Mus musculus: one gene and its partner. The protein of the gene in region 1 interacts with the protein of each later gene in a pairwise test. Links are inferred from orthologs where the notes say so. Each region holds a gene or a part of one and is shown on either strand. Other genes may lie near its edges.

Region 1 (3,674 bases):
TTTACCCCTTAGCAAGATAAGGACTTGATTAGGTCATCAATTCTTTCTGAAACGAGTTTCCTAATTTGTACATTCAGAAGCTAATTTTCTGTGAAACTCTTGGAATTAATTAGAAAAATCAAACCCTTAATGCATACAGCAGGGAGGCCAGAGTGCGTGTGTGAGTGGTGGCCATGGGGAGCTTGGTGTCAAGACTCCTGTATAAAGGTTTTAGGATAGTTCATTACCAACACCCCTTTTATTTTTTCTTGCTCTGTGATGATACAGTTATTCCTTACTTCTTATGGCTGGTGGGAGGACAAAATAAAGAAGAAAATGCATGATAAGGGTTTATTCTGCTAAAGTGTCCATCAAAGACTATTTTAAAAAATGCAACAGAAAAGGGGCAGGCCCTCCATATACCTGTTATTATCCCCATGTTATGTGATAATGAGCTTTTTTGTTGTTGTTGTTATACCTTTTATGTGACAAATTGATTAAAGCACTGCAAGTTTCTTCTGAGTGGTCGTGTGGTCTCCCACTGTGTTAGGACACCGTGTTTGCTTATGCTGCACACAGGGAGAATCTTTCTCATCCCCACCCATTCCCACTCCCCCTTTCATCAAAAATAAATGCCTCCTCCCCCCCCCCAAGAAATTATTTCACAGTATCTTTAATGCTCATTTTAACGTTTATTTATGGTGGGGTTGCATACATGTTTTGTAAAGGGTGCTAAGTGCCTACACTGAGAACAGTCCAGTTCAAATCAGTCCATTCCACATGGATGCTTCCTGTGCCAGTTGAAGTCATATGGAGAAAGGCCTTGACCTTTCTCTTGCTCAGGTCTGCGTTGCTGTTAAGTCCTGCTAACTCTCCAGGGCCTTCTTTGTCGATACAGATCATCAGTCCCATACAAAGAACAAGATACAGAACACCTCAATGTATTTCACAAGTTTAGCACAGCACATCTCTTGTACAAAAATGCACGAAAGCACAAAAGTGAAAGTACCAAATACTTATCACACATGCATCAATCTTAAACACTACACGAGTACACAAATGAATAGCATTACAAGGTACAAAAGCACTGTATGGAAAACTTAAAAATTATACATGAAATACTGCACTGTGGATTTGGGATACTCTAATGACTCAACCCCACCCTTACACAGCCCTAGTATGGGTCAGAAACTATCAGTGTGCCCCTGGACCTTTTTAGTCCTCAGAGACACTGCTGCGGGGGGCCTGGGCAGCAAGATTAGCCTCCCGCAGAGCTCTGGCCTGCTCCAGAGCCTCCCTGTATCGGGAAGGCCACGCCTGGGGATCTTTCTTGAAGACTCTGGCCAGGAACTCCATGATCTGCATCTTGGTGATTTCACGGTTAGCTCTGGACCCCCAGAAGAACTCGTACTCGGGAGGCTCGATGTGGGGCACACGCTGGTACTTCAGGTAATTCTGCTGGACGAACTCCTCGGTGATTATCTTCCTCACGTCTCCGAAGGTGGAGTGCTTCTTCCAGGGCCTCAGCCCCAGGATGCGCAGCACATTCCAGACCGCACCCTCTCTGGCCCCGCGGCCCTTCACATAGATGAGGCTCAGGATCATGAGCAGGAGGCCTGTCATGGGCATACGGTTGTTGAGCGCCACCCTGTCTAGCTCCTCTGGGCTGAGGGCTTTGACCAGGGCAAACTCCATGGTGTGGAGATTGGTCAGCCTCAGGTGCAGCCCGAACACTCTGGCGAGGATGACGCTGGTGCGCCTGAGGATGCTTCTGCACCATTTCTTGTAGCTGCCCATGACCTCTTTCACCATGTCTGGAAACCAGAGGACCATCCTCTTCTGGTCCTTCACCAACACGTACCACATGAGCTCGTGCGCCTTCTGCACCAGCTGGGCAGGGGCTGGCGGTGCTGGGATCGGCCGGGCTGGACTCTGGGGCTGGTGGGCGCGGCCCTCCTCTGCGGCCTGCTGCAGGATTTTAGGGTCAACATCTTCTATCCGTTCTTCGGGCGGTGGCGAGGCCTGTTGGGCTGCCATAGGGCCTTCGGGAGCGCACGGTGGCCCTGCGAGGTTAGCGGCCAGAGAAGCGGGAGGAGGGATCCCCACCGGAACGGCATCGCTGTCCTGCATCTCACAGTCGGGGACCTCGGCTGCAAAGTTAGGGTCGCTCAGGTCCTTACTTTGTTCCGACATGTCTGCGCCTTCGGATCAGAGCAGGACCGATGCGGCTTGGAGCTCTTGGAGCGGGCACTCCCTCGGTGGAGACCAGCAGAGGAAGTGCGCTTTACTGAGCACTGCGCCTTCCGCAGCAGCGGGCGGGCGGGGCTGATGCGATATTGCGCATGCGTGTTGGGAAGCCAGAAGGGTGGTAGGGCTGGAAAGGAGCGAAGCAGCAAAGCCCAACCACTGGGGTCTAAGGGAGGGTACCACTAGGCTTATGTAAAAGATTTCCTGGTCTCCTGTATGGCACAGAACTAGATGATGGTAGGGAAAGAAACAAGTTGAAGGAGAAAGATGTAGCTGAGATGGTGAAGTTAAGTTCGGACACACTGAGTTTGTGCAAAATCAAATTAAATGTGAAGGTCCTGGAGAAAGACTTAATTCTTGATTTTGGTTTTTCTACAAAAGAATAAGAGAAACAGAAATGACTTTTTTTTCTTTTTTCTTTTGGAAAGCTGTACCTTATGATGATGATGAGTTGTTTAAGATTGGAATATTGAGAAATTATTAATAGAGATAAATTCTTACATATCTGAATGCAGATCAAACAAGGAAGAATGTAAAGTGTAGTTACAGACACTGGAGATAAATCCATGTGAGATTTGAATGTTCTAGAAGTAGTAGATTCATATAGCATAATTGATGGGAGTTTAAAATTTTAATTAAAATGAGACTTGGTTCAGTGGTTAAGAGCTTTTGCAGTTCAAGCATGAGAACCAGAATTTAAATCCCCCAGGCCCCACATGAAAATGAGGGATATATAAAATATATATATATGCATTCATTCATCATTGGATGCTCAGTTTGTTGGTTTTGAATTATTTTAATAACTATAGATTTGGGCTCTCCATTTCTATTAGGTCACTTTGTTTTCATCTAAAGCTTCCGTTAAGATTCTAGTGGAAAATGATCAACATATTTATTAATACACATTTTATGACAGTGTATTTTTCATATTTTCCCACTACCTTTTTGCCCTGCTCACTGCATCTTCTGCGTTTATAAGAAATCTTCTACTTCTTAAATTATGTCATTCACAAATGACTAATTCCATGTTGGGAGCACATCCAAATCTTTCCCAATATATTTTAAATGCAGCTCTTTTCGATACCTAACAGTCTCTCATGAATAAGATGCAACATATTGGTGTCCAAAAATAAAAAGGTAGATCGAGAGGTCATCTAAAGCTGATATTTCCTCAAACTCTCCTTTATACAATGACCATTGTTGAAGCTTCCAAAGCCAGAAGTCCTTAGATTTGATCATCTTTCTTGTTCTGAAATAATGGAATTCCTTAGCCCTTCTCATCACTTAAAGCGGACAGATTTAAGATATCATGTTGGCATTCCTAGGTTCTAAAATATGTTTGTTTAGATATAACAGCTATCTTTTACCCAGAATAGTTATGGCAAGAAGCGATTCAGAGTTTTCCAGATTTGAGAATATTTGCACATGTACAATAACTTGTTTTAAAC
Region 2 (4,475 bases), on another chromosome or scaffold:
GCCTGCATAGGTCATGGATCTCCCAATAAAAATCCACAGCCAATTTGCAATAGAGATTCTGAAAGGGTTTTTTTTTAATGCTTTTCATACCTTCTTCCTCCTCAGCGCCTTCCTCTTCCTCTCCCTCCTCTTTCTCCTTCTCCTCCTCTTCTGCTTCTCCTTCAGAGGGGGGCTCATCCTTGGCCTCCTCAGCTTTCGTAGCCTCAATGGTCTCCTCGACCTCTGTCTGCTCTTCCTGGACGTGGCTGGTATAGTAGGCTGGGAAAGAGCGAGCAGACATCAAGTAGGAGCTGCTCTGCAAGCCACTGTAAGCAGAACGGCCGAAGACCTGCGAGCTCTGAGAGTAGCCGCTGGTTATGCTACCCACGCTGGTGAAACTGAGCCTGGTCTCTTCGCCTTCCAAGAGTTTTCTGGTGGAGAGGGAATGAAGAGTACAGTTAGAGCAAGGCTGGATGTGTTCATTGCTCTAAGCCCACATTCATTACTTTCCTCTACAACCAACCTCAAAGGCAAATACAAGAACAAATACGGTTAGGCATAATCAAAATTTAATAAGGAGTTCACGAGAGACCCCACCCAAAAAGACCTTCTATGCATCCCTATTAGGTTTAAAATATGAATGCTAAGAACAGGGCTTATGTTACTTCAGGGTTAATTCCCTACACATTTGTACCCTCTTGGAGGAAGACCAAAGTAGGACTATTCTAGAGCACGTGGGACTCACTATAACTGCACTGACTGGGTCATCTGCTCTGTCCTGAGCCGCCATGCCCACTGCCAGCACCACCCTGATGTTACCTGTAAGCTGCAATCTCGATGTCCAAGGCCATCTTGACATTGAGGAGGTCCTGGTACTCCTTCAGGTACCTGGCCATCTCGCTCTTCGTGCTTCTCAGCTCATTCTCCAGTTTGTTGATTGTGTCCTGTAGGAAGATTGTTTTAAAAAATTCAAAACACAAATCTCTACTGCATTTGTTTTACTGTAGTATCCATGATAAGTTCTGGTCTTAGTTAACTCCAAAGTGTACACCTTCCAGAAATCTCCCTTAAAATAATGGGGTGGGGTGGGGCATAGGGGGAGGGGTTGGCCTAAAATGCCCAGTCTAGTGAAGCAAGAGAAGGAGAGGAGGAAGAGGAGGGGAGTAGACTGATGTGAACAATTTTGAAAATTGTTCTCAATTGATTATGGTAAGCTGTCTTTTAAAACTACCAAATTGATGATGATATTATTATTATTATTAACCACCCTTGTCACATTTCTTTTAGCCAGGTCGCATTTGGGAAGGGGAATATATATATAGTGTGTGTGTGTTTGTCTAAATAAATATATAAATAAAAATTAAATTATATATATTTGTGTAGCTGTTTGTCTAAAATGCTTCCCCCCGCCAAAGATGAAGAACTTTTTTTTTAATGGACTGCAGTGATTAATTGCTAAAATATTGTGACTGTATTCTTGTGTCCCTATTAAAAAAAAAAACTATCCCAAGGCTGGGTGGCCCAAAACTAGTGAGAGCTAGCAGGCATATTTATTAACCAGGAGATCCAGGAAGTACTGAGGGTAACTTGGGAGTTAAGGGTTGTCAGTAAAGAGAAGGCATTACTTGGCAACGCCCAACTCCGACTCCCTCCGCCCCTTCCTCCCAACTCACCCCTAACAACCCTGATTCAACCAGAACAAGCAATCCCCAGGCAGCAGTCGCGCCCCGCCCCCTCCAAATGCCCCATCCTTTCCACAACCTCTCGGAAGCCAAGCCCTCTGATAGCTGCTCTGTGCTCTAGAACCCCCTAGCGTTCACTCTCTGGGTACACCCTGACTCCCCCCCCCCCCGCCGCCGCCCCTACCGTGGACCTCCCCACCCCCACTGAGCTTAAACCGTACTATACCTGCATGGCGCTAATGTCTGCATTCTGCTTGTCCTCTAGCTCCTGCAGCTGCTTCTCCAGAGCTTCGTTCATACCCCGGCAGGCTTCGATCTCCAGGGTCTTAGCCTTGAGCAGGCGGCGGCTTTCCGACACCTCGTCCTTGGCAGCGCGCACAGCGTCGGTGTTCTTGGCGGCGCTCTCGGTTAGCACGGTGAAGCGGCTCTTGAACCACTCTTCGGCGTTCTGCATGTTCTTGGCGGCCAGCTTCTCGTACTGAGCGCGGATGTCCTTGAGAGCGGCGGAGAGGTCGGGCTTGGAGGACACGTCCATCTCCACGGAGATCTGAGCATACTGGATCTGAGCCTGCAGCTCGGCGATCTCTTCCTCGTGCACCTTCTTCAGGAAAGCTATCTCGTCCATCAGGCTGTCGATGCGCTTCTCCAGCTCGGCGCGGGCGAGCGCGGCCTCATCCGCACCTTTGCGCGCTTCCATCAGCCGGCCCTCGGCGTCCTCGCGGCTCAGCACTTCTTCCTCATAGCGAGCCTGCAGGTTGCGCAGAGTCTCCTCCAGCCCCTCGCGCTCGCCCTGCAGCGCCTGCTTCTCGTTAGTGGCGTCTTCCGCTGCCAGCCGCAGATCGCGGATCTCCTGCTCGTACAGGGCGCGGAAGCGGGAAGGCTCAGAGTGTTTCTGGCGCAGCACCAACAGCTCGGCTTCCAGGACCTTGTTCTGCTGCTCCAGCTCGTGCACGCGCTCGATGAAGCTGGCGAAGCGATCGTTGAGGTCCTGCAGCTGTGCCTTCTCTTGTGTGCGGATAGACTTGAGGTCGTTGCTGATGGCGGCTACCTGGCTCAGATCGAGATTCTCCAGGCTGGGCATCAAAGAGCCAGAGCTGGACGAGTAGCTGCGGCGCACGGACAGCGAGGAGGAGACCGGCGCGGAGTAGCTGGAGTACGCGGAGCGCGCCGTGCTGTAGCCGCTGCGCACGCTGGAGATGTGCACCCGGGGCGTCTCCACATAGCGCCGCTTGTAGGAGGTCGAAAAGTACGGATCGTAGCCGAACGAACTCATGGTGGCGGCCGGTGCGCCCCTCAGGCCCGGGGCGGAGATGGGGGACCTAGAGAGAAGAACGGGGGAGAAGAGGGAAAGGGGAGGATGGATGGCTGTGTGCGGCTCGGCGCGGTCCTGCCACCTCTATTTATACGCCGGGACTCTGACGCAGACTGTGATCGATCGCCGTGCGCAGGCCAGTGGGGGCAGCGCGTTGCTGCAGCCAAGGGGAGGATTCTGCGCAAAAGCAAAGGCGGGGGCGAACGACAGAAGGCTAGCGAGCTGCGGCTCCAGCCTGGCCGCTTTTCTATGAGGACCCCTACTTTCTCTGAGACCCCCATAACTTCCCTGCTTATTCTTTTCCTTTCCTATTCCCCCGTCCCATCCTGCCTCTTAATACCTAAAGCCCACATCACTAGGACTCTTAAATGTTCCAAATAAAAAGGTTCGCGATCCCTACTGACACATCAACTTTTAACATCCAATGTCACAAAGACACCTTCACCCCACCCCACCCCACCCCACCCCACTCCCAGCTTTCCCTTTTTGCCTCAGGGACCCTCTCAAGCACCCTGATTCGTGTTTAAGCAGCACGTTTGGGTTGCTGACAATAGCTAATGTTCTTGCGGCATTACTGCAGGAAAAGTTTTGCATGTCTTTGTAGCTATTTTCTGACGTTTTCTTAAATTCGCCCCACTTTCTCCTGCCTCCTTTTATTTTTATTTCTATTTCTTTCCGTATTACTCTTCTTCTCAATACATAGGGAAATTGCACCACTACACACCATTGGAACCGCAGGACAGCGGGTGTTCATTTTGGCATTTTAAAACCTTTACAGCAGTTAATTTGTCTGACACCTTTCATAGAATTTCCCCTTTCTTTGTGAGAAATGTAGTCGGGAATGCTTAGGAGGGGTTGGAACCAGCCAGGTAAAGATTTGCAAGGCAAAAGACGGGCGCGCTCGGCCGCGGGAGAACTTCAGGGTGCCTTTATCCTCACTGAGCTATTCATACTTCCAACGCCTCAAAAGCCTCTTCTCCTCTTTTTAACACCTGTGTGGTACCCCAACCTGATGGTTTCAACAAGCCATGAAGGTAGATGGGGAGAGAGAGAGAGAGAGAGAGAGAGAGAGAGAGAGAGAGAGAGAGACTGCTGCAAAGGGCTACCCGCTCTGGGTGTGGTCTTCAGGAAGAGAACGCTGCATGGAGCCTGCTGAAATTCACAGATAATAGATACACTTAGGAACCTATGGGCTTCCTTCAGGGAGCACCCAGATACCAGAGTGGGCACGCCAAACGCACGTGGGTGCAACATTTTCATACTCGCGTTGTGAGCGCCTGCAGTTCCGAAGAGATACTGCAGATTTGTAAGAAATAACTAAAACCTTTAAGCAAGCATTTGGCGTTTTGTTTAATTTGTTCAATGTATCGCTGGCTTGCTGATTCCTTTAAATGGCACAGTGGGAGGTTACCGTTTTCAAGTAAAAAGTAGTGAAATTTTTGGAGTTGTACTCGGTCGCTTCTGGAGACCAAACAGAGGATGAAGGGAGCTTAATTCTGTAT

The links.
Region 2: the proteins of Ndn (region 1) and Nefl interact in binary tests that used the Homo sapiens proteins (3 or more experiments, as listed by UniProt). The link is inferred for Mus musculus from reciprocal best matches to the Homo sapiens genes NDN and NEFL.

The regions. Positions count from the first base shown.
Region 1 is NC_000073.6:62,346,906-62,350,579, reverse strand, and holds Ndn (necdin), read right to left. Parts: upstream 2,304-3,674; 5' UTR 2,173-2,303; coding exon 1,195-2,172; 3' UTR 652-1,194; downstream 1-651. UniProt on the Homo sapiens protein: Growth suppressor that facilitates the entry of the cell into cell cycle arrest.
Region 2 is NC_000080.6:68,082,422-68,086,896, reverse strand, and holds the start of Nefl (neurofilament light polypeptide), read right to left. Parts: upstream 3,035-4,475; 5' UTR 2,935-3,034; coding exon 1,888-2,934; intron 924-1,887; coding exon 799-923; intron 411-798; coding exon 91-410; intron 1-90. UniProt on the Homo sapiens protein: Neurofilaments usually contain three intermediate filament proteins: NEFL, NEFM, and NEFH which are involved in the maintenance of neuronal caliber.